Linked DNA regions of Mus musculus. The protein of the gene in region 6 purifies or fractionates together with the protein of the main gene of each other region. This does not show direct contact. Links are inferred from orthologs where the notes say so. Each region holds a gene or a part of one and is shown on either strand. Other genes may lie near its edges. The genes, in order: Med9, Med16, Med13l, Med24, Med23, Cdk8 and Med12l.

Region 1 (4,811 bases), on a different chromosome or scaffold from region 6:
GGTGTGCACCACCACTGAGATCAAACTACTACTGATGTATCGAGACAGAAAATTACCACCTGGGAAAACTATTTACAAAGATGATAAAGCAAGCTTCAGCAGAGAGTTGACCTCAGACCCTCTGACTTCACATCGTGTTCCTGTCACTGAGGCTGGCCCAACCCAACTGCTCTTCCGGGTCAGGAGGATCCTTCCTGAGGTATAGGTGAATGTGTATACATCTGTGTTCTGATTTCCCATGTTTTTAATGTTTGCAAGTTACTCTGAATAAACCAGTACTCCAGCACTGCCCTGAGATGGTTTTTATTTTCCTCACTTCCATCTCATAATGTATTTGCCAACAGCTAACACAGAGGGGACAGTCTGCCTTACCCTGCATACGGGAGGTTCACGTTGTCTGAAGCCAAGAGAGGAGTGAACGTGAGAACCAAGGTTTTGCAGTCATTTGAAAAGCGGCAGATGAGCGCTGTGCTATCCCACTTTTATGTCAACTTAACACAGAGTCAGCAGAGAGGAAGGAAACTCAGTTGGAAAAATGCTCCCACAGAAGCATGCTGTAGGCGAGCCTGAAGAGCATCCTAACTAGTGATTACAGTGAGGAGGCCCCACCCACTGTGGGGAGTCACCCTGGGCTGGTGGTCTTACTAGAGTAAGAAAGCACGCTGAAGTTGGGCAGTGGTGGCTCATGACATTAATCCCAGTACGTAGGGGTGTAGACGCAAGCAGATTTCTGAATTTGAGGCCAACCTGGCTTAAAAATAGTTCCAGAACAGCCAGGAATACAAGGAGAAACAAACACAATAAAAAAGGAAGAGAGAGCGCACTGAGCAAGAAAGCACTCCTCCATGGCCTCTACATCAGCCTCTGCCTGCAGGTTGCTGCCGACTTCCTCCAGTGAGGAAAAGTGATACAGAAGTGTAAGTCAGATAAACCCTTTCCTCCACAGTTTGCTTTTGGTCAGTGTTTCAGCACAGCAGTAGCAGTCCTAAGACAAACACCAAACCACCAGAGCAAGAAACCCAGACTGCCTCAGCTCCAGCAAGAGGGCTTGCCAATGTTCCTAAATGTGACCGGAACTGTAATCTTGTCTTAATTTACTTTTAGTATCTAATGGTTTAGAAGAAATTCAGAGGTTTGCACCTAGTGTCCTGTGGCTATACAGGTATGTGCTAAATAACCTGATTAATGCCAGATCATATATTCAGTAACTGTCTAATGCTTATAATGTAACCAAAACCTTCCTTTGCCTAATGACAAAGTAGTTGTGGTAATGTTGCAGCAGAATGCGCCACTCACAAGAGTGTGAAAAAAAAAAAAGTATACTGCCTGATGGATAAAAAGTATTACCTATACAATTACAGGTAGTTCTTAATGCTTGATAATGATAATAAATAATGATGTCACTAGTTTATGGATGTATTATACTGTAGCGCTTCGCCTTGTTGCCTAGAGACAGGGTCTCATATTAAATAGGAAGTTAACAGTGTCAGCCAGGCAGCCTGGCCAGAGCTCTTGAGATCTGTCTGTAGCGCTGGGACGCTGGGGCTCCAGGCACGAGCAGCCATGACTGGCTTTTTATGTGGACGCTGAGGATTGGAACTCAGATCCTTGTGCCGTTTGTACCGCGAGTGCTCTTACCCACCAACCTGTCCAACTCCCAGTGTTGCTAAGAATCCTGACTGCACAAAGAGGCACCAGGCAGTAACTGTTCCGCGTCACCTAAGTTTATCAAAGCACACTTGAGAATGCTTGCACCAAAAAGTGTACCTCTTGGAAATGACCCAAGCGTATATGGAGTGAGCAAAAACATAGGCCATCATGGAGACTGGAGACTTTGGGCCTAAAAGACCATACATCCTTGTATATTCTATTAGAATTATTAGAATAAAGTTAATAGTGGGACACAATCATTCAGAGCAACTTCTGTGTCTTCGTTTCAAATGTTTCCTAGCATCACTTCTCCCCTCTCCACTTGTTTGTTTGGAGACAGGGTTTCTCTGGATAGCCCTGGCTGTCCTGGAACTCACTCTGTAAACCAGGCTGGCCTCGAACTCAGAAATCCGCCTGCCTCTGCCTCCCAAGTGCTGGGATTAAAGGTGTGCGCCATCTCTCCACTTTTAAGAATGTTTGTTTGTTTTTCTTTGCTTGTAACCGTTAAGCCCTGTAAGGGTAAATGGCTGCTCCTTTCTTTACGGTGTACAACCCTAGTACCTAACAGAGCCCACACAGGTAAGATGCCTCGCATTGAAATGGGTACTAAACTGTGTACACGGTGAGAATCTCGAGTCTGAACGTCTGAGGTCCACCAAAATTCGAACACTTTTCGGGGCTCATATAATGCCACAAGTGAGAAATTCCGCTCTGGGCTTCATGCGAACAGTCAAAACGCAGGCGAATTAAAACAACTGTATAAAATTGCCTTCGGGCTATGTGTAAGGACTTAAGACCCATCCCCAAGTCACTGCAGGATCTGGGATGGGACACTGCAGAACCTATCTATGCATTTGATCAGTACGTGGGCTTCACCCGGGAGTAAAGTGTAACTCTTAAGGCGCCTGACAACGTGGGCCCTCTGGGAAAATGGGGCGTGGTCCAGAGCCCACGGGCTTTGGCAGCTCGGAACCAGGGACACTAGAGTCGCAAAAAGTGGTGTCTTAACCTTTCCTAGACCCTTACCATTTGATGACATTGTGAACCAACGGCAAAAAGGAGTAATTCTCCTCCTTCGCGCCAGCGGGGGACTGAGGCCGCGGAGCCGCCGGCGGCGGGAGCGCAGCGACCGGCAGAGGCTGAGGCGGTGGTGGCGGCTTGGACTCCGGCAGCAGCTCGGGCGGTGGCTGTAGCGTATCTTCGGCCTGTCTCCCACCCGCCACCCCAGAGGAAGCCATAGCACCAGGAGTCCAGCAGCTGCCGAGGGGCGCTGGGTGCTTGCGTCACAACTGCGCGCCCGGGGAGGCCGGGCGGGAAAAAACTCTGAGTCTGCGCCCTGGGCGTAGGCGGGCGGGCGTTGCTAGGCGACGGGTGTCGGGAAAGCTAAATTGAGTAGTCAGGATTAGGGAATCTACTCCAGTCATCTTTCTAGTTCACATGACAGAGAGAGGTCAAAACACCAACGAGGACCCCCGGGACTGGCAGGAAGAACGGATGACGCTGGTGAGCACCGTGTGAAACTGAGGCTCTGCGGCAGCGAGCATCCAGATGACAAGGACTTACACGTCTTTGTGTCATGCTAGCCTCCAGGAGGGCCCCAGACTGGCGACAGCAAAACAGGCCATACAAACTAGTTCCACACGGCTGCCAAGGGGAAAACTAATCGTTCTTCAAGCATTTGGTATGCATCTAGCAGGTGCCAGACTACATACGTATATAAGACTAAGATCTTGGACCAAATAGGAGAACTTTACGATAGGCTTGTATTTATTCATTTCAAGCAAATGGGCTCCATTAAAAATTTTCTGGACAAGGGTAGCAGTAATTCTGATTCTGACTAACAAAAATCAGGGATTAGGGAAGCTGTCAACTGGGAGAGGACATCTGTCTTTGATGACAGGAACCATGTCAGTAAAGAGAGGCCAGGAGCCCACATCTCAGAAACAAAAAGAAGCAGGAACGTGGAACTTCACAATGGTGTTTTCAGGTTTTTTAGCTACAGGTCTCAGAATTGTTTTCTTCAGAGCTGCAGATAGTTCTCTAAACAGAGGCACTGTCAGGAAAAGAATAATCTCAGTGTTGCTCAAAAGAAGACAGAAACAAAGTGAAACAAGGTGATTTATTTATTTCTTGAAAATGAGTGCACCAGAACTCAAGATAAGATAGCAGAAACACTCAACAAAATGGCCACTTTCTTCCATCTCAGGCTTAGGTGCATTTCATCCCATTAGTGGGAACACAACTTCTCAATATGACTCAATGGGCTAATCACCCAAAGGGAAAGGTGGGTGGGGGGAGTGGAGTTAGGGAATACAGGCCCCTGTGGAACTAAGTGTCTGATTAGAAGAACATTTCTCACTGCAGGAAACTGTAGGATTTCCTTCTAACCCAGGACCTCTCCACCTTAGGGGAAGGGCCATGATTCCTGAGGAAGAAGGGAGAAGAGAATGGTCTAAGATGGAACCAGGTGTGCCAGAAAAGACTTGAAGACACCTCTGGAGACATCTGGGAGAATGCATGGTAAAACGGCAGTGTTAGCAAACAGTAGCTATCACTACTACTGTGGAATGAAAGTGACGAGAAACCATTAAAACCCTCATTTAATCCACCGAGAAACTCTGGAAGGTATATCTTAGTTTTCCATTTTATAGAAAAAGAAACAAAAGTTTACAGGGCTATAATAGCAGCCCCAGGATCACAAAGCCACAGAGCTTCCTTGACACCAAGTCTATGTCTAAAATCTACAGGTATGTGATGCCAGGCTCCTCCCTGATCTGTAACTTTTGATTCAAAATGTTAATGTGAGCTTTTATTCAGAATTCAAAAAGCATCTAGTAGCCATTGATACTATCCTCATAGCAACCAAACATCATCTTTCCCCCCTTAATGTGTTTTATAACTTAATTACAAGTCCCAAATCTATCTTTGGCAGAATGAGGGCATCTCTTTAAAAAGCTCTTGAGATATAAATAGATATGGCTAAACAAAACAAATTGATAACGTAGGAAGCATGAATAAGTATGGTGCATTGACAGTTTGCCCTAAAAATAGTTAATATAATTAGTGACAAAGAATAGAGCTGACTTCACATCACGGCAAACAGCTTTCAGAAAACTGCTCCCTGTTCTGGCTTCCTTAAAGCTGATTATTGCAAATACGTG
Region 2 (2,944 bases), on a different chromosome or scaffold from region 6:
CTCACCTGGGACTGTTACCCTGTCTGACTGTAGCTCCCTCACACTGCGGTGGAGTACATCGATAATTCTGGGTTTTGGTTTTTGCTTTAATCTCGGGTGTGAGATGTGGGGCTACTTTAGACTGTCCACAGCAGCTGACTATGATTTGCCTCGTGATCTAGGAGAGGCGTGGTTTTGCCAGCTGCAGCTAGTTTCTCCAACTGTGTGACATTTGCAATTCTGGGGATTTTTAAGAGGATATATATATGCTAGGGTTGTTGTTGTTGATAGTGGATTGGTGGTTGGTTGCTGTTTGTTAAGCAGTCCTGTGCAAAGAAGTTAGATATCCTGCTGGTGACATCAAACTTGCCCCAAGGACCGCAATGCTCCTCATCAGTGGGAGGCAGTCTGAACGTGATGTCACCCCTTATCCCCATTAGTGTCAGGGGGCTGAAGGGGTAGAAGAAAGAAGAACCCACAAAGTAGCCAAGCAGAGTGGAGCATCCTCCGGGGCACCGGCTCAGGCAGGCCCTCCCCAGAGCTGGGTCATCGTGGCCATTGCCCTGTACTCAGCTCCACAGGGCTCCAGGGAGAAAACACCAGTTACCAAGAGCAAAGAGGCTGCGGCCTGGCCACCCGAGGCTGCAGGGGGCAGGTGTGGTATGGATGCTAGAAAGCAGAACCTCTGGGGACTACAGCAAAGGCCACAAAAACCAGGAGATGAGGCAGCTGGGGAGGGGAAAGTCTGTTGTGACACAAGTGGGGCCAGCAGTCACTCAGTTTCCAAATGTGTGGGTACCTCAGCACGGAGCCTCACCTAGTGGGCAGAGTGGTGGGGACCACGGTGACAGCCAAAGCCTAGTGCATCAGAGAACTTTATTGGGCCAGTCTTCCCCTCCCACCGGCACCCAAAGAAAACTGAGGCAGACGACCCCAAGCAGGACAAGAAAACTGAGGCAGACGACCCCAAGCAGGACAAGAAAACTGAGGCAGACGACCCCAAGCAGGACAAGAAAACTGAGGCAGACGACCCCAAGCAGGACAAGGGGCTTTATGTACTGTGAATCTTTTTTTTTTTTTGTTTTGTTTTTTCGAGACAGGGTTTCTCTGTGTAGCCCTGGCTGTCCTGGAACTCACTTTGTAGACCAGGCTGGCCTCGAACTCAGAAATCCACCTGCCTCTGCCTCCCGAGTGCTGGGATTAAAGGCGTGCGCCACCACGCCCGGCCACTGTGGATCTTTTAAAGGATGAATACACAGCCCAGCTCCTTCACACTGGCTTGGATATGACCATGGGACTTCAGGCCCTAGAGATGCCGCATGTCCCTAGAAGGGGCAGACCCAGGGGCCATTGGTGGGTACTTGTGCCTCAGTGAGCACAGCAATGTCAATGTTCAGAGACTGGTTGTACATACGCAGGCTGGTGGGCTGTGGCTCAGGAACAGCTGAGAGGCACTCGCCGCCACAGCCCACCACACAGGCAATTCTTGATCCACCGCTGTTCCCACTGTGTCACAGCGGTTGTCTTGTTGGGAGACTTCAGCATGGTGACACAGCCACACCTGAGGAAGCAGGGACTGTTAACACTCACCTTACTCTCCCAAGTACTGCACTGCTGAGCAAGGTGGTATGCCCCAAACCCTAGCCTGCCCAAGTCAGGTCTGACACAAGGCCACAGCCCAGGCCCTCCCCAAGCTGCCTACCCCACAGATCCCAGGCTCTGCCGGTGTGGCCCAGGAGGGACGCCCAGAACTCTGGGCCTGGCTGCAGCTCCTCACCTGGTGCAGGCTTTGCACTCCTCGGTGGGGTAGGCGCCCAGGTGTAGCCTCCGGAGGTGGTCGATCTTGGGCTGGCCAGGGGCCCTGGGGATGAGAGGGGAGCGAGGGGGATGTGGGACCTATGTCCACAGTGCCCTGTCAGGCAGGAGGCAGAGGGTAGCTTCTGGTGTGTCACCCTGGGGCTCAACCATAACAAACAGCCAATGGCCTTTTCCTGGTGAGATAGGGCCAGTGTTTCTTCTAGAACCTTCCAAATGTGACTGATGGGACAGTATACACACAGGAGGGGGTAATGGTTTCGCTGTTGGAGGGGCACGGCAGTCCCTTATCAGCAAACGATGGCTTGGGACAGGCAAGGGCTCCATTACAGCTTCAGCAAATCCAAATGGGTGAAGAAAATGAATTCTCCACGCAGTGTTGTGGGCTCAGAGGTGGAGGCTGGTGGGAAGCCAGCCTGGGCTACAGAGTTAGTGCCAGGACTGCCAGAGGTACCCTTGGTCGGAAAACCACAAACCCCATCTCTACGCACACAGCAAAGGCTAGAATGGCAAGTTCTCATCTCACTGCAAGGACCTGACCATTGGAGACACGATGTTCTAGAAGGCGCTGGAGCCTCTGTGGGAGAGAACCCTGAAGCAAAGCTGTGGTGTGGAGGCCTTCAGAGGCGGGGGGTGGGGGAGGGAGAGGGGGTGGATGGGCAGTGGGGAGGGGCAGTGCATACCTGGTGAGGCCGTCCAGCTGCAGGGTGGAGGTGCTGCTGGGCAGAGTGGGCGCTCTGCCGAAGCGCAGGCGCAGGGGCTGTTTGGGCTGCAGGCGACTGACCAGGCCATCACTGGCGGGAAGCCAGTCCAAGTTGGGGACCAGCAGCTGGCTAGGCAGCAGGCAGCATTCATCCACCAAACCCTCATCTGGTTCACTGGCTGCGCCCTCATCACGGCCTACGGGGAGGGGTCGGGAGTCACCGCACTGAAGGATGTGGCACCCGCTACGTCTCCCTAGGGCTCTGCCCTCAGACATCACAACTGTGAATTAGGGACGGGCTCCTGCCAAGTGCTGGGGAAGTGGCGGGAAGCTTAAATTCTGGAGGTGGGCTGATAGGGAAGCTGTGAGAATGTGTATGATAGTGCCTCACAGCAGATCCACAGTTTGGTGAGCAGTCGGAAGAGCAGGGACATGCTGTCCTGGGTG
Region 3 (4,707 bases), about 28 Mb from region 6:
TCACAGGAGGAAGAGAGAAACAGCACAAGGGCCCATATCACAGCCATCCAATGGCCTTTCACAGGTTAGGGTGGGGGTGGAGACAGAAAAGCAAGAGTAGGAAACAGGACTCCAGGCAGTATCAGAAAACAAACTCAGTCAAAGCCTAGGAACAAGAATCGTAAGAGGCCTGATTGCTCAGTCAGCCTTGCTAAGCCCTGGCGATGGCCTCAGGATCTCAGGAAGTAGTGGGTCGCGTTCCCTCGGGGCTCGGCTCCAGCTTACACCTCCATCCAAGCTAACAGGAGCATGTGGGTGGGTAGTGTTCCAGAAGTGACTATTCTGCACTCAGAAACAAAACTGCAGGCCAAACTTTTCAAAAATACAAAATGCTAGGTACCTAGAGTTCTGACAAAAAAAAAAAAAAAAAAGATTTTGAAAGGATGCCTCTCCTTTGAAATCAACTATTCTATACAATGTTCTTTACGCAATGTATTCTCAATAAGTAAGATAGGTTGCTGCTGTGTGTATGCTCTTCAGAAAAAAATTCTCAATTAAGAATCCGAATAAAGGACTGTTGGCAGTTTATTCTTGGTTTTGGTTTTCCGTGGGTCTCTTTTATTTGGCTTGGTTTTCTAAGAAAGTTTAGGGCTGGAGAGATGGCTCAGGGGTTAAGAGTACTGACTGATCCTCCAGAGAATCTGGGTTCAATTCCCAGCACCTTCGTGGCAGCTCACAATGGTCTCTAATTCCAATCCCAAAGAACCCAGCACCCTCACACAAGCAGGCAAAACAGCGATGCATATAAAATAAAGATAAATTTCTTAAACAACTAGACAGCATTTACCTACCTCGAGGTATCAGGAAATACGTTACATTTTAAAACTAATCTAAGCCATTTCTGCATTTCAATGGAGTTACCCAAAAAAGTTAATTGTACTTTATATTCAAGTCAACTTTTTGGTTTAAGCGGAGAAATACCCAGAATGCAGTCAAAATCAAAGTCCAGAAATTAAAGAAAGAATCCGGACCATCTCATCTCTACCCCATAGATCCCTGAAGCTGAGAGTGGAGCTGTGCAGTCAGCAGGCATGCATTTGCCTGCACAACACACTGTGTATACATTAGCCACATGCACACAGGCAGCACTGCTCTCAGCCTGATGCACAGCAAGTGGGAGCTCTCCCCAGCTAACACCAGCTGACTTGGTTATTTTAATTACCTATAAAAGTGTCATTGCGGTCACCCAGTCACCAAATTGGTTGGGGGGGGGGGTAAATACCGCCTAGTCAATACATTTGCTGATCTATGAAGGTCCCTGAACCTAATAATAAATGACAGACAAGGGAAGGGGGGGGTGAAAAAAGAGACAGAAGTAGTTTTATCCTCACATCAAAAGATCAACGGTAAATTACCACAGGGGTAAAAGGAAGGACCCCCAACTTCTAACTGAACCTCGAAACAGCCTCAGGATAAAATTCGGGGTGATCAGGAATCAGCCTGCTTACAAGAGTGGGAGCAGGGGGACTGTGTCACTCCTGTGTCTTTGTAGGCCAAAATCATGCTTGATTTCTTCATCAGCATGAAAACAGAATGACACTTCCAAAGTTGGCAACAATTCCTCTTTCTCCACTAGTCTCCAAGGGGAGAAAAAGCATCTATGCCACCCATAATTAAATGTAACTAATTACAATTTGAACACTAAATTATTTATCCAGTGTAAACAAGGACTAAAAGGAAATAAAGCTTCTATCTGCAGCAGGGGTTCCAGAAAATAATTTGCAATAAATGCATGCTCTCCAAAAGTCAGCACCCTCCCCCCCAGCACCCTCCCCACCAAAATTGGGCACACAACTAAAATAAGTTGAGTTTTTAAGGCTAAATTAAATAGGCCGTTCAACCAATTTTCCAATTATATTCTACGCTTGAAACATAATTGCCTTACATCTGTTTACAAATCTTTGCTCAATATTTAAACAAATTCGTACTCTCCCGGGCACATAGCTACACACACACAGTAACTCAGGCACAAAGCGCGTATTTAAAGACCATGCACTCCCATTATCAGCGTAAGCGCCGGGTTTAACAACGCGAATGTTTTCAGAGCTAGGTAATACGACCCAATAAAAAGCAAAGATGGCATTTACCACCAAATGTCACTGCCACCGCCAGGAAAGAGTTGCTGGAGCTCTATACATTTTTAATTTCGACGAATCGAGCCGCCGTCGCCCGGTGCCAGGCTTCCAGAAGAACAATTGACACCCTAAATGGTTCGAGATTAAGGCAGGCGATGCACTTCCAAAGCAAAAGTTGTCAATTATCAGAGGCGAGAGCGGGAGAGAGGAGAGGCGAAGGCAGATAAAAGCGATGTTATCAAACCGCCCAGCTTGTTGCTCGTGTGTGTGTGTGTGTGTGTGTGTGTGTGTTCCTTGTTAAAGCAGAGAAAACAGTTTTTAAAGGCAGCGGAGGAGAGCGAGGAGCAGCAGCTTCCTCCACCTTCCGTGGGCTCCGAGCAATGGCTCTCCCGCTCTCCGGCGTAGTAAACCCCGAGAGGCGGGCGGCTGTCCGTGTTTACAACGGCGCGAGCGAGCTCCGGCTGCCAGAGTCCTTTTCCCTGACACCATCGCCTTCCATCAACTGTTTTCGGGCGAAATCGCAGGTGTCATTGTGGAAATATTAAAAGGAAAAAAAAGGGAAAAAAACGGAGAAACAGAGGAAGAGAGAAAGAAAAAATCAGAAGGCAGACGCCGGCGAGTGGGAGAGCAGCCGATCCGATCGGGAGAGAGAGAGAGAGAGAGGACGAGCCTGCAGCTCACCCGCGCCGGCGGCTGCACAAGGCAGAAAAGCCTTCCACATTTCGGGGAAGGAGGAGAAAAAAGAAAAAAAAAGAAAATAAGGGGGGAAGGGGAGGGGAGGGGGTGTGATTGCCACGGAGGTGGGCGCTCCGAGCGCGCCCCGGCGTCCGCAGCGCCCCGACTTCCCCACGCACGTCCACGCCGGGCGCCGCGCTCGCCGACGCCGCCAGGGCTCCGGGAGGAGAAAGTTGCGCGGCGGGGAGGTCGCGCCCCCCAACCCGGGCTCCCCCCCGCCCCGCCACTCACCAGCGAGAAGAGGTTGGAGTGACAATCCTCCAGGCTCGCCCCGTTCGCTACCCAGTTCGCCGCGGCGGTCATGGTCCTCCGCGAGCCCGGCCGCCAGAGCGGGGCATGTCGGAGCGGGCCGGGCCGGGCGGCGGCGGCGGCGGCTCCCGGGCACCAGGGGCGCGAGGCCCGCGCGGGAGGCCCGAGGGCGGCGGTGGCGACGACGGCGACGACGGCGGCGGCGGGGGGCGCGGGCCGGCAACGCCGCCCGCCTCTGTCGCGCAGGGCCGCCGCCTCCGCCTCCGCCTCGCCGCCTCGTCGGCCGCCTTGTTTATCTCCAAGCCGGCGGGCGACTCGCCCTCGGCCGCGCCGGCGCGGGAGGCACGCGAGCCCCGCAGCCGCCCCGAGCCGCCGCCGCCGCCGCCGCCGCTGCGCGAGCCCGCGAAGGGGGGGGTGCGGACGAAGCCAGCGGGCGACCCCGGCAGCCGAGCGCCGTCCCCTCCTTCCTCTTCCTCCCCACCCCCCCCCTCCTCCCCAGTCGGCCGCGCTTCTCCTCCCTCCCCGGGCTCGCTCGCTCTGACAGCAATGGCGGCCGCCGACCGCGGCTCGGCCCGCCATTGGCTGCGGCGCGTCACGTGACGGGCGCCGGCCGCGCGGGGGGCGGGGGAGGGGCCGCGGCGGCGGCGGCGGCGGCGGCGGTGGTGGCTCGCGGGAGGCGCTGCTGAGCCGAGCGAGCGCGGCCCTCTCGGAGCGGGGTGACGGAGCCAGGGAGGGAAGAGAAAGAGGTGCGGGCGGCCGTGGGACGCCGGGGCTGCGTGGACGCCCCGCCCTGGGCGCGGGCGCGCGTCGGGCGCGGGCCGAAGAGGGCCGCGGCTTCCCCGGAGCGGCCTCCGAGCCCCCCTGGGGGAGCATCTCGGGTCCCCGAGGAGCGGCGTGGGCCGGCCCGGCCTGGCCGAGCGAGCCGAGGAGTGTCTCCTCCTCGAAACCTCGCGCGCGACCGCCCGCCGGCCTGCCTGCCGCAGCGCACCGGGCGGAGGAGTAGGACTCAAAGAGACACAAAGGCAGCGAGCGAGGTGCTTGCCCGGGGTCGCGGGATTCGAACCCAGGCATCGGGAAGCCAGGGCTCGGGACTCACTGCCTCCCGAGCGCTGAGCTCCTAAAGCATCCCGGCTGCTGGAGCCCTTGGCGCCCACTCTGTGCGTGCACGCAGGCATTCCTTACATAGATGATCCCAGCGCTCTTAGGTGCCACATTCACACTGGGCTATGTGGAGGGGAGCAGGCCCTTCCTCCAGCTCCAAGCGGTCAATAATAACCAGCATCCCTTCTTCAGAGAGTAATGGGACTGGGAGAAGTGCTGATGCCGGAGACTGCCTTCCAGGACTTTTCGTCGTGGAAATAGAGAAAGGGAGAAAGTTGACTTGGAAAGAGGTAGAATTAGGCAGGCGTATCTCTATGAGTTCCAGGCCAGCCTGGTCTACACACTGTCTCCAAGAAACAAAGGAAGAGTAAAACGCTGGAAAGAGCGGTGGAAGCAAAATAAAGCGGGCACAAATCTGACATATGAATGGAGTTTTGAGACTACCACAAACCTTAAACCCTGGAATGAAGGTGGCCCGAACACATAGGTCATTTCACAGAGTCCTCAG
Region 4 (4,078 bases), on a different chromosome or scaffold from region 6:
GGGCATGGATATGCCATGTTACTCAGCCTTAAAAGGAAGGAAATCCGGTCACATGCCAGAGTATGAATGAATTTTGAGGAAATTATGCTGAGTAAAGTCCGTCAGTCATGAAAAAGCAGGTATTACGTAATTCTAGTTATACGAAGTATCTAGCGTGGCCGCTCAGAAGGACAGAGAGTCGCGTGGTAGCTGCCAGGAACTGAGAAGGGGAGGTGGACAGTTGCTTATTGGCTAAAAGCTTAGATACACAAGATGAAAAACGCCTGGAAGTCTGTTTCACAATTCCAACACGTTTCATATCCTGAACGATATACATAAACACGGTTGAAATGGTAAATTTCCTATTGTGTTTCTTGCCATATTTAAAAACCAACGGCCAAACAACTTATCAGTTGGGTGAATAAACAGACACCACCAAGCCCCGTGTAGCGGAAGTCCCTGAAGAGCCAGTACTTGAAATGGTCACCAGGACAGCTGGGGGTGGGGGAGGGAAGCCATAAAAACTGCAGATGCCTCAGAGTTCCTCGACAGTGACACAGTCACACAATCCCTTTGCTCTCTGGCCTCAGCTAGTTTTCTGGAACTTGCAGCCTTGGAGGACACAGGTCAAGCTGTCTGGGGTCTGTATTTCCCACGCATGGCAAGTACAGGGATTAAAACCCTCTCGATACAGAGACACACACCAAACATCTGCTGAGCCAGCTGAGTGAATGTGTGACTAAGAATGCGAGGGAGTGGTAGGGGAAGGCGAAGGAGGGAGCGAGAGTCCAACTACCCTGAATGTGCACTGCCTCAGCAGCTAAGCACGGTGGGCTGGTCGGAGCCTGGATGGAGGAGGAAGTGGTTGCTGAGCGGCTCCCTGGGAAGCGGAGGCCGAGAGCATGGGGTGGGATGTTTGTTCCTGGTGGTGCCGACTCCCGACCGCACACCTGCCGAGGCCGGGGCACTGACCTCTCATTGTAGAACTGCAGGGTGTTCTCGCTGTACAGTGGCCCTGCCAACTGGCGGATCATCTGCAGTGACTTCTCACGCTCATCCAGCCCCAGCATCCGGACGTGGGCCACGAGCCAAGCCACAGCACACACCGCCAGACTGCATACCTTTCCCTTGATATTATCGGTGATTTTCTGTGGGGAGGAGAAGGGAATGACTTGGGGACTCTCTTCCTCTCCCTGGCCATGACTCCCACGGCCTCTGGGGGCAGCTGGGGGTCACAGGTGCTATCCCAAGGTACATTTCACACCTTTGCAACATAAACTTGATTTTCTCAAAGACACCTGGACAGGATGAAGTGGCTAAGAGGAGGATACTATAGAAGACTAACACCAGAACATGATCTCCAGCTTGAGGATTTGTTTGTATGCAAAATAACAAGCTCTCAGTGACCAGCCCCGTGTCTCAGGCAGAGAGACTCAAGGAACGGTAGAGCTACCTGGATGGACTCAAATGCCAGAACCCCATTCTCCCAAGCGTTGAGGATTTCCAAAATGGCTGCTGAAATGCTGAGGCAGGCCTCGTGCCACTTCATCTGTCTACAGAGAAGATTAGGAGAACATCATGGCAAGGGAGCATGAGATGGGATTAGGGGGGAGGGCCTTGGAATGCCCCTCCCTACCACCCGAGGTCAGGACCTAAACCACTGACACTAGCTTCATCTCTGAAGAGTTGTTGAGCAGGGCCACCAAGGACTCGACTTTGGTGGAGTCAGGGCGGAAGCAGGGATGGTCAGGGTTCAAAATCTTGCCCTCCTCGGGCATGCAGGTCTGCATCCAAGTCTCAAAGAAGGGGACTTCTTCTCCTGAGCTCGACTCCGAGAGGATCACCTGGGTAAGACAGAGGGGCACCAGCTGAGAGAAGAGGGCGTGGCACCTGCCAGAGCTAGCCAGGGACTGGGCTCTATTGCCATTCCCTTTCCATAGTCAACTCTAAATCTGTCCAGGGGAATCAGACAGGGAGCGGTGCTGCCACCTAGTGGTCAGCATGAATTTGCCACGAGAGGACCTGTTGACATGGGAAGACAACAGAACAGGCTGGCTTGGGAGATCAGTCTGGGCAAGGGTGAGTAAGGGAGTTACTGGCGTTTCCTTCCTCTTTGCCCCACTCACTTGGGGCCTCTTCCTGTCACCAGCACTCATCACTTACCTCTGAGCCATAGGTCTGGGCCACATGGCATAGCATGAGGAAGGAAATGTCAAAGAGCAAGGCTCGGACCGAGGCTGTTTTCGCTGTGGGAAAGAGAAAGATGCCAAGCTCGGCCCGGGGCAGGAGCCCCAAGCCCTGTATAGATTGGGAGGTGCCAGGGACTGAAGGCCTCATGCACAGTAGCCAAGTGTGGAGGCTACACCCCAGCTCAGGATTTCCTGAAGGAAGGTCAGGGAGCAAGCGGTTCCTTCAAAGCTCTGAGGCTCAGAATCCTTTTCTTGGGTCTTATTAAGAACATCATCCCTTCCTTGGAATCCACAATTTCCAGAACCCAAACCAGTCAAAACTGGTCCAGCTGGGAGAAGGGCAGAGGGTGGTTTTGGCAGAGTCCCTTCCCAGGATTACCCTCATCCCCAGAATGAGCAGACGCAGCCCCTCCCTTCCTTCCCTCCTCAGGGCAGATAGGACCTGCAGATAGACACAGACTTACTGCTCTCTCCACTGCCGTGGGTCGTGAACTCATTCAGACTGTAGGAAGGACAGAGACAGGTAGCATCAACCAGAGCGAGGGCTGAGCAGTGTCACAGGAGAAGGGGGTAGGGCCTGGGAGGGGGCTACACATTCAGAGGGTGGGCCCTAGAACCTCAACTATAAGCTTAAATATAAAATGAGTATTATAATTACAGAAACAAATCACTAGTATTAAAAGGACATGGTGCCTCACACTCTACCCCAACACTGAAGAGGCTAACACACGGAGCATTAGAAGCCAGCTTGGACTACACAGTGAGACCCAAAGATTTGTAAGGAACCATGTTCTACACACAAAATTGCAGGTAGCCCCCCAAAAGTTACAGAATTTAAGAACCCATTATTAGCTGCGTGGTCATACACGCCTTTAGTCCCAAGACTCAGGAGGCAGAGTGAGGCAGATCTGTGCGTTTGATGCCAGCCTGGTCTACAAAGTAAATTCCAGGACAGTCAGGGTTGTTACACAGTGAAAAAACAAAAATAAAACAAAAAACGAAGACCATAAACTAGATAGAGCAGGCTACAAGAGCTCCCATGTCAAAAGTAAATAAATAACTGGGCCAAAGAACTTTTCCATGCCTATTATTCAATGCTTTATTTTTAAAAATTCATTTATCTTTTATTTTTATTTATTTTTTTTTAGATTTTATTTATTTATTTATTATATGTAAGTACACTGTAGCTGTCTTCAGATGCACCAGAAGAGGGCATCAGATCTCATTACGGGTGGTTGTGAGCCACCATGTGGTTGCTGGGATTTGAACTTCGGACCTTCGGAAGAGCAGTCGGGTGCTCTTACCCACTGAGCCATCTCACCAGCCCCCTATCTTTTATTTTTATGTGCATTAAGCATGTCTGTGTTAGCTATGCATCTCATGTGTGTACAAGATCCTGCAGAGGCCAGAAGAGGGCACTGGAGCCCCTGAGACTGGAGTTACAGACAAGTGTGAGCTGCCAAGTAGGCCCTTTGGAGAGCAGCAGGGCCCTCAAATGCTGAGCCATCTCTCCAGACCTCAGCCTCTCCCTGCCACAGGCCTCATTATCTTTGCAAGCGGCTTTATTCCATCTTCAGTGAGAGAGAGAAGACCTCTCAGTCGAGTGACACGTCTGTCACAGTTTCTAGTTAGGATGTTCTGCCCTGGTCTGTACACCTCAAAGGGAAACCCATATCCAGGCATCTCCACCCTCACACGACCTCCCATCGCACAGCAGGGCATAGCTCTACTCACTTGATGAATTTCCGGGCGAAGGATTTAAGCTTCCCAGTGGCGGCGGCAGCAGCCAGCAGCAAATCCAGGCTCTTCCCAGACAGCATATGTCCCAGGACCCCTAGCAGTCCCTCCGGGGACTTGGAGTGATCTGCATCCATTGTCTGGGGACAGGCGGGAGTCCAGTGAAGACACCC
Region 5 (4,531 bases), on a different chromosome or scaffold from region 6:
CCCAGGTCCAATCTGAAACCTAACCCAACACTTCTTCCTGGCAGATAGTCTCAGGGGCGTCCCATCTCTCGCCATGAGAAATAGAAGGATCAAATATTCAAGGTCACTCTGCTACATAGTAAGTTCATGGTCAACTTGGGATACAAAATACCCTGTCTCAAAACTATAAAATAAAATGAAGACGCCATGGAAACTCAAGATGGTCCTTACACGATTCCCCAGAAGCCCCTCTAATTCTCCAACATTGTGTTAAATTTAAATATTTTATTGGGAGGGTACTACACTGGTATGCCTTTTTGTAAGTCATCTATGCTTGAGGTAGGAGTTCCTAGTAATGAGGGTACCCGAGTCACGTGCTTCTATAAGAAACTATAATAAGCTCATTGTTTTACCAAGCTGGATTTGAATGAGATTTTTTTTTTTTTGAGGCAGGGTTACTCTGTGTAGCCTTGGCTGTCCTGGAACTCACTTTGTAGACCAGGCTGGCCTTGAACTCAGAAATCCACCTGCCTCTGCCTCCCAAGTGCTGGGATTAAAGGCGTGCACCATCACCGCCCGGCAAGATCCTTTCTTTAATCTGTCAATGTCCTCTATTTAGGGTTTATAAACATTTATTTACATCTCCCCAAAGAGGGAAAAGTCCTGTGAGAACTTATCTCCAGTCATGAAAACCAATTAAAAAAATATGGACTTAAATACCAAAGCTAGAACAAAGTTTCTGGAAGAAAACATTGACGAATAGCCTTTGGATAGACAAAAATTTCTTCATACTAAGACAATAAAAAAAAAAGTTTTCAGAAATTTACCAGGATGATGGGAAAATTGTTTTAAAATGATGTACTTAGTACCGCCACTTATTTGCGAATTAACAATAAAGGGTTTATTCTTTTTTTTTTTTTCAACATTCAATAAACGATGACGACACGCCCATCACTGTGCTAGCAACTGAGGGTACCATAGTGAAGACATGGGTCCTATTGGGCAAGAATAACGTGGTATCAACTGCTTCACGAGGTCAGCTCTTGACAGTCACCCACTTGGTTCTGGCCACAGCCCTTGTGATTCGGATCTGCAAATGAAACTCCAAACAGGTCGCAGTTCCGGCTCCAGCCAGGAGAGGGTGGCCTTGCCCGGGATCAAGCAGCGCTGTCAGCTTACGGGGTCACCTCTACGAGCGGAACCAACAGGCTGAGATACAGATTTCAGAGGGGCTGGTAACGGGTAAGCACCGGGCGGGCTCATTCGCCTGGCACCGAAGGAAGTAACAGAGCAAGAGAGAGCGGCGGCTTCCTGCTGGTGGCTCCGCCCCTCCGCTCCATTCTTTCCCGACCCTGGCTCTCACCCGTCTGTCGCCGGGTTCCCCGGGAGCCCGGGGCTCGATGGTACCGATGGAGACGCAACTGCAGAGCATTTTCGAGGAGGTGGTGGTGAGTGCCACTGTCCGTAAGCCAGAGCCATGGCTCCGGGAAGTGCAGGCTGCGTGCGGCTCCAGGCTGCGGGCCTGGGCCAGCTCCTTTCCCGCCCCTATGTTGACATAGGCGTCTGAACCGGGGTGGCGGTCCCCCCATCCCCGGACTGCTGCCAGATCTAAGAAAGTGCTGTTAGTTCCCGCCGCGGTCCCCATAAAAGTGTCGTGCTCTATCTGTATTGCCCGGGAATATTTCTCTCGGGGACATCTCCCACCCCGCCCCCTTTTAGTAGTCAGATCGTTTACTAGTTTTTGTTTGTTTGCAGAAAACAGAAATTATAGAAGAGGCCTTCCCAGGGTGAGTATGTGGCAGGCAGATCTTTGTGTGTGTGTGTGTGTTTTTTTAATTGTTGTTTGTAGATTTATCTTTGTTAGATTCCACTTAAGTTGGTTTTGAGGAGTTAAAAAAAATCTACCTTGCAGGATGTGTACCTGTTTAAAACTAGCAGCAGATAATGTGATTTTTGTTTTTTCAGAATGTTTATGGATACCCCCGAGGATGAAAAAACAAAACTAATTAGCTGCTTGGCGGCCTTCCGGCAGTTTTGGAGTGGACTTTCTCAGGTGAGACATTTCATGTTGAACATCCACTTAATGACGTTTGACGCCTTCCTTTTTACTTTTTACATCTTCTTTGATCTTTTTCTTAAGATCGTTTAGGAAAGGGAAAAATAAGACTGCTGTCATTTTATGTAAATGTACTTACTGGAGAACCTGTGTTAAAAGTTCAAGGTAATAAGATTGCAGTGGGAAATGTTTTAAAAATTTCCTTCTATGTTATATTATGTAAGGTAGTTTTTATCCTCTTTGTATAAATTGGCTTTGAATGGAAACAGATATGCTAAACTTTTCTCGTAAAAGAAAAATGTCACTATTCAAAAAATGGCCCAGTATTTATAAATATGTCCTCATAAAGACACTGTGATAGAGTCCCCACTAGAGTAGTATTTCTCATGATGCACTGTAGACAGAGAAGTGAGCCGCTGGGCTTTCTGTGCCTGTGAGCTAGTATAAAATTTGCCACCCAGTTATGGATCCTAAAGGCAATATGTTCATGTTTTAAACTTTCTATTTTCAACAGGTCATGCTTTGACGTGAACCTGAAATATATAAGGCAAGCGTGACCAAGCTCCACACGCTGGCCGTCTTCCTGATCTAGCTCAGCCACCTGCCCTTCCTGTCTGAAGCCAGCATCCTAGTTTGTGTTCCCAGAACTGTTTAGCTATAAGACTGTCTCTCTGTGTCCTGAGTTCTAGGATTATAAAGCCATCTTCGTTCTTTTCTCTTTAAACAGTGCTGGGGTGTGGGGGGTGAACACAGGGCCTCACACACTGGTCTCCGAACATGTGAACATGTGTCCACATGCTAGGCACACAGTCGTCTCTGAACTACATCCTCAGGCTCACAATTATTATTACTATTATTATTTTCTGCTTTTTGAGTTCGAGACCACGCTGGCCTCGAACTCAGAAATCCACCTGCCTCTGCCTCCCAAGTGCTGGGATTAAAGGCGTGCGCCACCACCGCCCGGCTCAGAATTATTTTTATAGAATCACCATATACCATAGGTATTGGTCAGCAGTTAGCTCTGTACTTCTCACCATTAATAATAAGTTCTAAAGGTATTTCAAGGAATTTTTTGAGTTACAGTTTCTTTCTTACTTCTTATAGCGGTGTAGCATATTGTTATGTGTCCTTACCACCTATATTTATTAACTACCTTCTTGCTTTCAAATTTTTCTTTCTTTTTTTCCAGATAGAGTTTTGTTATGTAGCCCAGGTTAGACTTGAACTTTTAGTCTGCCTTCCTCTGCTTCCTGGTGTCATAGGATAGACCACCATGCTTAGCTAGATGTTTCTCTTCACTTTTTACTTACTTTGGGTGTGAGTGTGTGTGTGTGTGTGTGTGTGTGTGTTCAAGACAGGGTTTCTCTATATAGCCCTGGCTGTCCTGGAACTTTGTTGAACAGGCTGGCCTCAAACTCAGAAATCCGCCTGCCTCTGCCTCTCAAGAGCTGGAATAAAAGGTGTGCGTCACCACCGCCGGCCCACTACTTTTTTTTTTTTTTTTCGAGACAGGCTTTCTCTGTATAGCCCTGGCTGTCCTGGAACTCACTTTATAGACCAGGCTGGCCTTAAAGTCAGAAATCTGCCTGTCTCTGCCTCCCAAGTGCTGGGATTAAAGGCGTGTGCCACCACTGCCCGGCCGGCCCACTACTTTTAAGTAGTGTTACAGTAAGTAGTACTATTGATCAGGCATAGGATTGAATATTGGGCATAATATTGGTATAAATCAAAAGCTTTTTTTTTTGTCTTAGTTATGGAGGGGAGGTGTATAACACACATGATATAATCTCAGTGTAACGCAGATTTGCCTGGGATTTGATCTGTAGTCCAGATTGGCCGTGAACTCATGACCCTCCTGTCTCTATGTCCTCAGTACTGAGATATACGCATTCATAATCACCCCAGCAATTTATAATTTTAAGGAAATTACCTAATTATTTCTTATAAGGGTTATCTAGTTTACATTATCAATACCAACAACCAATATAATTTCCTGAAGGCATATAATAAAATAGTAATACTTTCTTATCCTTGTGTATCAAGCACTGGGAAATTTTATCTTGGTAAAATTTACTTTTTATCTTTCAATATTTAGCACATTTTATGCATTTTTAATTTTAAAATATTTGTTGGTCTTTTTATTTTAACTTTGTGTGTGTGTATGTGTGTTTGTGTGTGTGTGTATGTGTGTGACAGTACTTGTGTACAGGTCAGAGGACAACTTACAAGAGAGAGTCTCTACTATACGGACCCTGGGAATCAAACTCAGCAAGTGCCATGCCTGCTGCACCCCTGTCAGGCACATGGAATTGCTAAAGTCATTTCCTAAGGATTTAGTGATTTATGCTGTGGCCTTTCAAGATGTTTATATAGTGAGAGAGAAAGATACAAATACAATTGGCAATTCTAAATCAGATGATGGGTGGTGATCATCTGGAGGAGCAAGGTGTGTAGATCCTCCCAGGATGCTCTGGAAGGCAGGCTTCAGTGTGAGCA
Region 6 (3,641 bases):
CCATCTCTCCAGCCCCACAGAATGGTCTTTCCTAACATATTTCTCAGGCTCACGTCTCAGGACTGGGGGAGTTCGTTGGAAAGGAGCCACATTTCCATATCCACCCAAGTCCTACTGAGTCAATCTCTGGAACTAGCTGGCGAAGGGGGAATGTGTAGGTGGCCCTCACAGCCACTGGGCTTCTAAGCCACTCAGTATAGGAGAAAAACACCAGAAGACAACGTGTAAGGGTCATAAGAAACACCGTGAGAGCTAAGGTTGACAGAAACCAAACACAACCACTCAATTCAGAGGGTTAAGGAGGGACCTGTGTGATCAAAGGCATGCAGTATGGGTGTGAACAGGGGTGAGAAGACTTGGAAATGCCACTCCCAGCAACCCCCCTTTCTCTTCTGGTCAGGCCTACCAGTACTGATTCCTCAGCTCGTGGACTGCGCTAGATTGTTTTTAAAGGGATGGCTTCAGATTTTGAGAAAATATCTGTTAGCTCTAAAAAGGAGGAACCAAGGGTAACGGAGTGGAACTACCATTACCAGAACTAGCCGACTATAAAGCTACCTGTCCCCTGTGCTACAGACCTAGACAGCTGACCAGAGTGCACACCTCAGCCTAAGCCATCAGTTGTCACCAATAAGTCACTGGGAAGAGTTATACAGAGGCATGTTTTAAAATACAACAAAAGACCCTTGGTGAATTTGAAAAATATAGTTGACACCATACATTGATTTATGAAAAATAAATTTATTACATAACACCTTGTTTTTAACAATGTTCAATTTTTTTTTATTCAGAATACTTGTGTCATTCATGTAAAATAGTTTGATACAGTACGTTGTATGTTATAGCTTTTTATTTTCCCCTCAAAAGTTCTAAGGCTCTCCTACTCCCTCTCCTTTGCTGAAGTAAGGGCACCCTAAAAATGTGCGAACAACCTTTTAAAAAGAAAGTTAACTGAACAAAATTGTAATAGCACTACACTAGGCAGCTTCAAATCAGGACAGAAGAGTGCGGACTGACGCCGTGCCTCGCAGAGGTCACCGTGCCTCGAGGAGGTCACCGTGCCTCACGGAGGTCGCCACTCATGCTTTTGTATTCAGAAAGCATGCTCACAAATCAGCAACACCAACGAGGAAAAGAAAACCCTGTCTGCAACACTCATTTCAGTTTGCTGAACCAACAGGCTTCTATCAATGACAACATATTTAATTACTATCAAATAGCAGCTTTAAGACCAGTCAAGTCGTCATAGGTTGAAAATAAAAACAAACCTCTAAGTTGGAAATTAATCTTTGGGAGCTCTGAAACCTGTCAGTAGAAACTATGTGGTTCTTTTGTACTTTCAAAACAATCCAAGCAATATTCTTGGTCATAAAACACTGATTTATGTAGAAGATGAATCAACCCACTGATAAGACACTAAAAAGAAAGGTGTACCAAAATAATCTTTAAATCTTGGTTATTTTGTTAACATAATCTGTGTTTCAAGTACCAGTTAAACCTTGCGTCTGTGTGTACTATTGGTCAGATCACGCTGTTACACTCAAAGTCACCACACACGAGGACAAATGCTCGCCCTAGCACATTTCACAGCTTCAACTGCTACAGACTGTCACTGAAAACTATGCTTGGTCAGTCTGAACCATGTCAAGTAAACTATGGAAGTAGCAAACCCACAACACAACTGTGCTAGCACTTTCATTTCAAGTCTAACTCCAAACTTAGGTACAACCTGGAAGCTACCACCCCAATCTGTGACAACTGGTGGAACTCGGCTACTGGACATTGTGAAGATGTGGTTGTACAGTACATTCGCATGGCCCACACCAGGTTCCCGCGAGTGCCGCAGCCAGTCCTGCAGCATGAGCAACAGTGCACTGACAGACTCCAGCACAGCTCAGTACCGATGTGTCTGATGTGAGTACTGTGGAGGCTGCTGGGAGGTAGCTGAGTATCCCATGCTGCTCTGGGGCTGTGATGTGCTTGGTCCAGGGTTGGGATAAGCAGCATGTGGATTGGAACGCTGGAAAGAAGACGAGGGAAAAGCGTGATTCAGGGACTTCTCGAGGTAGCTTGGCCCCACGCCATCAAGGCTGATAGGGAAGGGAATCTTGTTTCAAAGAAGCAAAGATGTATAAGTTTCTGTAAGGCACTAGCTTTAGAATTAAAATATAAAAACACTGGCTAAGCAGCAGCAAACCCCTCAGCTGGCCCATACAAAGCAAAACAGAGCAAAAACAAACAAAGCTCCCAACTCTTCCCACATCAGCTTCTCTCCAGGAAGGTAAGAATTGGGACACCATGTGGGCAATTCTGATCATATCTTGCGACATGAGCATGAGGCACTCAGTGTGTATATCCAGAGTATATAAAAGCTCGTAGGCGGACTGCAGAGATGGCTCAGCGGTTAAGAACACTGACTCTTCTAGAGGTCCCGAGTTCAATTCCCAACAACCACATGGTGGCTCACAACCATCTGTAATAGGATCTGGTGCCCTCTTCTGGTGTGTCTGAAGACAGCAACTGTGCACTCACATATATTAAACAAACAAACAAACAAACAAACACGTATTTAACAAAACAAAACAAAACAAAACAAAACAAAACAAAAAAAGCTGGTAGGCATGGTGGCTCTCTGTAATCCCAGCACTTGGGAGGAAGAGACAAGATCTGTAGGGGAAGCTGGTCGGCTAGACTAGCTAACATCTGCAAGCTCTGGGTTCAGTGTAAGACACTGCCACAGTAAACAAGGGAAAGACACCTGATATCAACTTAGGGCCTGAACACACACACACACACACACACACACACACACACACACACACACACACACACCACATTCTTACATCCACATGCCTGTGTGCCCACACATATAAAAACATACACAAACTCATACATCCTTCATGAGCTGCATTCTACCATGTAAGGGCACTTTCTGTGCAGGGCTTCCCCAGGCAGGCCACCATGTTCAGAACACACAGCCACTCAGTCTTCCCACAGCTTCACATTCTAGTCACTGTTTCTACTCTGCTGCTGCTGATGCCGTCTGCAAGCGATTTCTGTTCTACCTTCCTCCCCACACTTAAGACATGGAGAACATCCAGGTCTCTCTCTTACTCAAGGCTGAACAGAAGTAGGTGGGATCTAAGAGCCCGTGGCCTTGACTCCTCTTCTACAGTGCTCAGGAACAAAAGCAGCCATTGGCTAAGTTCAAGGCACACATGTTTAAGCTGACTTACCAACTTCATTTTATAGATGAGAAACACTGAAGCTGTGTTTTGCTTCACTTTGCACGAATGCGTGTGGAAACCGGAGGTGATGTTGATTCCTCTCCACTTGACACAGAAGCAAGGCCTCTCAATTGACCCTAGAGCTCACTTGACTAGAATCCTGTCTTTGCCTTTGAAATGACTGGACCAAAGGGGTACAGATGGGCCACCAAGCCTCCAAGCACTTACACGGGTGCTTGAGTCTGAATCCTCCTGGTGAAGGGACTTTACCTGCTGCACTATCTCCCAACCCCAGCAGATGTGCTGTAAATGCCACAGGTCTCAAGTTACTGGACTTTCTACTCCAAGTCTGTCCCAAGAGCTGATCCCTTTCTAGTCTCCATGTCTGTAGACTTCCATACCTATAGCATCCCA
Region 7 (4,727 bases), on a different chromosome or scaffold from region 6:
CACGTAAATTCTATCCAACCACCTTGCAGGAAAGTAGCAGTCTCATTCAACTCTAAAAGGGGAAAAGATGGTTTACAGGGAGAAAACAGGGTGTGTGGACAAAACAGCCAAGATTCAGGCAAACAGAATGGCTCCAGGCCCCACCTGCTAGGTCACAGCTATATGAGAACAGGATGAAATGTTGAGTTTGGAGGAGAAAAGGCAGGCAGGTGACCAGGTAGACAAGAGTTCCAGGAAGGAGAAAAGTCAGCCTAAAGCCAGAAAAGAAGCTCATCAAGTTGGTGAAACTCAGGAGCAGCATCAGATTAGTTAGAAATCCAAACTATCCCAGAGGCACACCAGGCAAGACACACTGGTGAGTACATACTATGGGTAAGGAGATAAGCTGTAGAGGAAGAAGACTCGAGAAAGACCCCTGCTTTTCTGATTCCCCATTTTTAAAGGGGAGGGCAGTCTATGTGCAGATGACAAAGTACTCTACCACCACATTTAATAAAGTCTAAAGGGAGACCAGGGCACTGCAAAGCTCGTGAATGAATTCGATCAACTGATGAGGCAGGTTAACGGATCTTTTCATTCTGTCTCCACAGAGTCCTCCCGAAGGATTCCACTCCGTAGCCTGGGACCCTATTTCCAGAACGCTCTTACCACTTCTTATCAATAAAAACTTCATCGGTAGCAATCAGGCAACTTTGGTTCAGTGAAGAATAGGGATTTTCTTACCCAAACATGAGGAAAATTATAAAGTTTTACCTTGTTTTTCCTGACGAGCACAACTAAACTAGTTAACAAGAGAGGCGTGATCCAAATTTGCCAACCACTAAGATGCTCAACCATAATTCAAACTCACCACGGTCAAACCGGAAGCCTGGACTTCCTCCATTCAATCAATACTTTATCTCAATGTGGTGGTACAGGTCTAGGATCTCAGGACTTTAGAAATGGAAGCAAGATCTTGAGTTCAACATCAGCTTGGGTAGATCAGTGTGACCGTTCTCAAACAAATCACCACAGCTCTCTGATGGATAATGGTATAGATTTGGCCTCCTTCAAATATGTGTAATTATATATCTTGTGTTTGCATATAATAACATATATGTGTGGGGGGGTGATGTCTTATACAATCATATTCATATTGCAGTAAACTGCAAAAAATCAAGACTGTCCAGAAAACACAATACAGTTTATCTACAGTTAATAAAAGGATCAAATTACTGGTTGTACAAGGACAGGGTGGAAATTTGAGGGAGTAGTATAATACATAAATAACTGAAGCTTAGGAATCTGCTCGCCACCAACCAAAAAAACAGCCGAGCACCTGTTCCATATTGTACCCAAATTTGACTACAGCCACATATAACTCTCTCCTCAAGAGAGATAGAATATCGGTCGCCTGGGGGGAAGTGAATCCGAGGAGCAGCAGCAGCAGCACAAGTCACCGGGACACAGTGCAGGGCTGAAGGAGGGCTGCGCTGATAACCCAGTGTGTGCTTATTCACCACACACTTCAGATAAAGCAAGCGCTTCTGAGCTGCAATCACCCTATCTCCTCAAATCAAAGTAGGAAAAAAGTACCCTCTACAGGCACTTCTTCCAGCTTTAGATTTCTAGAAAGTGACCCAATGTCCAAAATTATTCTTTCCAGGATCCAAGTCCTGAAGTGACTGTCATATGTAAAAATAAATGCTAAATAAACAAGCACACATGCTAATCCAAGCCACCAACCCGAAGCTACGTCACTCTCCAGAAAGACCTAGTGAGGCACTAATTATAAGATGAGAAAAGTTAAGAAACGAATGTCCCTATCCCTGCCAAAACTTTTAAAATCACCTTTCTTTACACTTGGTCTTTAGAGTCTCTCTTCTTTCCAGACCTTAGGAGCTGCATAAGCACATGCTGCCCACCTGTAAACTTCCCAGCCATCTTCAATCGACTTCCCTGACCCTCAAACTCAATGGGAGAAGGCCAAAAGGAATTGCTCGTGATGATTTCTCAGACACATTATTAGCCAGTCTGGGCTGAGCCTCTACTAAAGAGACGGATACATTTATCAAAATAGAAGCCTGAAAGAACTCTGACTTGCAAAGTCCTCTTGTGAAATCAGGGGACACGCAAACTTTTATAGACTTTCCAGGCTCACGGGAAGACTAGAATACATGGCAGTTTCATGCTTAACTATAGAAAAGAGAAGATGGGTGGGCTGTAGCTGGCAAAGTCTCAAAGGACAGCTGGGGAGCAGGGGAACCAAAAAAGAGAAGATAGGCAAGTCTCTGGGCAAATTGTATAGCCAAGGGCGATCATTATTATGGCTGGAGAGTTGTTACATAATTACTTTTTAACTCCTGACACATACCTACATAGCTTACAATAACCACTGAAGCTACTGTATGTGCAACAGCCAAGGTTTCTCCATTTAATTTCATTCAAAGAAAATAAGTAATCTGGAAGCTATTCCTTTCTAAGATAACTTGTCTGCTTTTACACATACAAAACAGCCTCCGGGAAAGCCAATTTGTCTCTCTAGAAACAAAATTCGGTGTTTCTCTTCAATATTGTTTTCTTAAATTTTTTTTAAAGGCGAGAGATACAGAGGTACATTCACCGAGCCAAATATATGATCACCTCGCTAAAAAACGACTTCCATTCCAAAGTGGAGGATGTGATAAGGGTCCCTCCCCCATCCGTACCCATACCGCTGGCGCAAAACGCAAGACCACAGTGTCCGATGTACTGCATTCCAGCATTTGTCAAAAAGTTTACGAGGATTTATCGAAGCGACGGAGTAAAAAACAATAAAACAAGCAAAAACGGAGGAAAGCGAGCAAGAAGATGCTAGCGAGGTAGAAGCGGTAAAGCGCCCAGCGGCGCAGTGCAAGGCCCGACAACCGGGAAGCGACCCAGCCCCCCGCAGAGCGATCGCCCAGCGGAGCGCGGGGGTTGGCAGGCTCCGGGTCTCAGTAGCTCAGGGTCCCTGATACCCTAACCCGGGCCCCGCCTCCGATCCCCTCCCCAGCCCTTCCCCCGCAGCGCCGGGGACGCCCGCCGGGCCAGCTTGGCCCCGGGTCAGCGCTGCGGAGCGCCGCACAACCGCGGAGGCCGCCGGCGCCCTTACCTCCTTCTGCTTAGGGTCCTGCGGGTAGACGTCGGGCGGCCCGAGCCGCGGGCGCTTCAGCGGTCTCTGCTCATAGCTGAGAAGCCCGAAGGCGGCCATGATCTCTCATGTTAACCGGCGAAATGAATGAGAGTTGGAGCTGGAGCTGGAGCAGCCGCCTCTGAGCACCAGGGAGCAGCACTTTGCAGACAGACTCCCTCTTCCCTCCACTCTGGCTCGCCGTGGCGCTGCAGGCAGGAGAAAAAGCAGGTTGGAGACGGCCGCTGCCCGCGCGCAGACGCGCTCAGGGGGGCCGCCTTCGTGGGCACCCCGCTGCGCCGAGCCCCGGGACGCCTGCTCCGCGGGCGGCGGCGGCGGCGCCCGGGCTGGAGGTCGGCCAGGGTCCGCCGCGGCCACGGCCTCCCGCCACCCCCACTCGGTCCCCAGGGGGAGGAGCAGATGATGGGAACGTGTGACTTTCTTCACCAATGAACCCAAACCCACCCAGAGGGGCCCAGGCTGGGGTGGGGGAGGGGCATAAAGGGGGAAAAAACTTTTCTTGGCGCCTAGGCGGGAGGCTCGGTGCCCGCCGAGAGCTAGGCGTCCTCGGGCACGCGAGGTGCTGCGCAGCGGCCCGCGCCCACTTCCTGGCTCGCCATGCCCGGCGCTCGCAGCTTTGCACTCGGAGGACCCGCCGCCCGGGCACGGAACCGCGGACGCGGAGGGAGAGAGGCCGCGAGAGGCGAGGATGCGGACGCCGAGCGAGGCCGGTGCCTCCGGGTTCAGCCAGTGCACGAGCTGCGCGGGTCCCCTCGGCGGCGCCGGGGCGCTTTGCTGGCTGCCGGCTGCAGCGGCCGCGGCGGCTGGAGGGGGCCGCGCTCGCTGTGGCGCGGGGCCGACTTAACCCTTTGCTGGCCCTCCCGGGGCTGGGGAGGGGGTGAGCAGAGGTGGCCGCGAGCACCGACGGACACATCGGGAGCACGGGCGACTGGGCTCCCCGGGCCACCCCTAGACGTCGCGCGCCCTGATCCCCACCCCCAACAGTTTACCTGTTGGTCCCTAGCTAGCGGCTAGGCAGGGGCGGGCAGCCGGGACGCCCTGGCGGCCGCAGCCTCCATCGCTCCGTTAGGGTTGGGGAATTGGATTTGACGTTGCGAGGTGTCTGGCTCGCCAGACTGCGGACGCCGCGAAGTTTGCGGCTGCCTGGGGGCGTCGCTCGCTGTCGCCAGCGTTCTCGCCCCCACGGCCCGGGAGCGCGAGCTCCCGAGTTGGCGGACGGCGGCGCGGCGGCCGCACTGAGCATGCCCAGCTTGGCGGCCGGACCGCGGAGGAGTTGGCTGCGAGCGCCTCGAGCGCTCCCATCTGCCTCTCCGGGTTTTCGCAGCCGCAGAGCGCGCATTCCACGGGCCCTGCGCCCCAGCTGGCTGCAGGGTTAACCCGGCTATGGAACCAGCCCCAGGAGGGACCCCGGGCCTCGAGCTGCGCCCTCCGCCTCGACCCCTCCTGGGGTCGCCATCCCGGCAGCCTAGGCGAAACCTCACCTGCTCGCATCACAGGGATGGGAACCGCGGGGAGGGGGCGATCCTTTCGGGGGATCTGGTCAATCCACCTGCCGGCGCCCCTCGCTTGCTCCAGG

The links.
Region 1: the proteins of Cdk8 (region 6) and Med9 purify together in Homo sapiens (affinity purification with mass spectrometry; 10 studies listed by BioGRID and IntAct, counting the BioPlex papers as one, with this or other methods). This does not show direct contact. The link is inferred for Mus musculus from reciprocal best matches to the Homo sapiens genes CDK8 and MED9.
Region 2: the proteins of Cdk8 (region 6) and Med16 purify together in Homo sapiens (affinity purification with mass spectrometry; 10 studies listed by BioGRID and IntAct, counting the BioPlex papers as one, with this or other methods). This does not show direct contact. The link is inferred for Mus musculus from reciprocal best matches to the Homo sapiens genes CDK8 and MED16.
Region 3: the proteins of Cdk8 (region 6) and Med13l purify together in Homo sapiens (affinity purification with mass spectrometry; 6 studies listed by BioGRID and IntAct, counting the BioPlex papers as one, with this or other methods). This does not show direct contact. The link is inferred for Mus musculus from reciprocal best matches to the Homo sapiens genes CDK8 and MED13L.
Region 4: the proteins of Cdk8 (region 6) and Med24 purify together in Homo sapiens (affinity purification with mass spectrometry; 13 studies listed by BioGRID and IntAct, counting the BioPlex papers as one, with this or other methods). This does not show direct contact. The link is inferred for Mus musculus from reciprocal best matches to the Homo sapiens genes CDK8 and MED24.
Region 5: the proteins of Cdk8 (region 6) and Med23 purify together in Homo sapiens (affinity purification with mass spectrometry; 10 studies listed by BioGRID and IntAct, counting the BioPlex papers as one, with this or other methods). This does not show direct contact. The link is inferred for Mus musculus from reciprocal best matches to the Homo sapiens genes CDK8 and MED23.
Region 7: the proteins of Cdk8 (region 6) and Med12l purify together in Homo sapiens (affinity purification with mass spectrometry; 3 studies listed by BioGRID and IntAct, counting the BioPlex papers as one, with this or other methods). This does not show direct contact. The link is inferred for Mus musculus from reciprocal best matches to the Homo sapiens genes CDK8 and MED12L.

The regions. Positions count from the first base shown.
Region 1 is NC_000077.6:59,946,344-59,951,154, reverse strand, and holds the start of Med9 (mediator of RNA polymerase II transcription subunit 9), read right to left. Parts: upstream 2,942-4,811; 5' UTR 2,889-2,941; coding exon 2,677-2,888; intron 1-2,676.
Region 2 is NC_000076.6:79,893,871-79,896,814, forward strand, and holds the end of Med16 (mediator of RNA polymerase II transcription subunit 16), read right to left. Parts: coding exon 2,889-2,944; coding exon of another isoform or gene 2,884-2,888; intron 2,695-2,883; coding exon 2,478-2,694; intron 1,841-2,477; coding exon 1,757-1,840; intron 1,541-1,756; coding exon 1,414-1,540; 3' UTR 837-1,413; downstream 1-836. UniProt on the Homo sapiens protein: Component of the Mediator complex, a coactivator involved in the regulated transcription of nearly all RNA polymerase II-dependent genes.
Region 3 is NC_000071.6:118,559,231-118,563,937, reverse strand, and holds the start of Med13l (mediator of RNA polymerase II transcription subunit 13-like), read right to left. Parts: upstream 3,220-4,707; 5' UTR 3,153-3,219; coding exon 3,081-3,152; intron 3,077-3,080; exon of another isoform or gene 2,127-3,076; intron 1-2,126. UniProt on the Homo sapiens protein: Component of the Mediator complex, a coactivator involved in the regulated transcription of nearly all RNA polymerase II-dependent genes.
Region 4 is NC_000077.6:98,708,631-98,712,708, forward strand, and holds part of Med24 (mediator of RNA polymerase II transcription subunit 24), read right to left. Parts: intron 4,046-4,078; coding exon 3,903-4,045; intron 2,671-3,902; coding exon 2,633-2,670; intron 2,460-2,632; exon of another isoform or gene 2,356-2,459; intron 2,226-2,355; coding exon 2,143-2,225; intron 1,824-2,142; coding exon 1,645-1,823; intron 1,533-1,644; coding exon 1,433-1,532; intron 1,128-1,432; coding exon 952-1,127; intron 1-951. UniProt on the Homo sapiens protein: Component of the Mediator complex, a coactivator involved in the regulated transcription of nearly all RNA polymerase II-dependent genes.
Region 5 is NC_000076.6:24,868,720-24,873,250, forward strand, and holds the start of Med23 (mediator of RNA polymerase II transcription subunit 23), read left to right. Parts: upstream 1-1,266; 5' UTR 1,267-1,379; coding exon 1,380-1,427; intron 1,428-1,734; coding exon 1,735-1,766; intron 1,767-1,944; coding exon 1,945-2,032; intron 2,033-4,531. UniProt on the Homo sapiens protein: Required for transcriptional activation subsequent to the assembly of the pre-initiation complex. Component of the Mediator complex, a coactivator involved in the regulated transcription of nearly all RNA polymerase II-dependent genes.
Region 6 is NC_000071.6:146,299,955-146,303,595, reverse strand, and holds the end of Cdk8 (cyclin-dependent kinase 8), read right to left. Parts: intron 2,021-3,641; coding exon 1,895-2,020; 3' UTR 722-1,894; downstream 1-721.
Region 7 is NC_000069.6:59,005,486-59,010,212, reverse strand, and holds the start of Med12l (mediator of RNA polymerase II transcription subunit 12-like protein), read right to left. Parts: upstream 3,236-4,727; 5' UTR 3,212-3,235; coding exon 3,113-3,211; intron 1-3,112. UniProt on the Homo sapiens protein: May be a component of the Mediator complex, a coactivator involved in the regulated transcription of nearly all RNA polymerase II-dependent genes.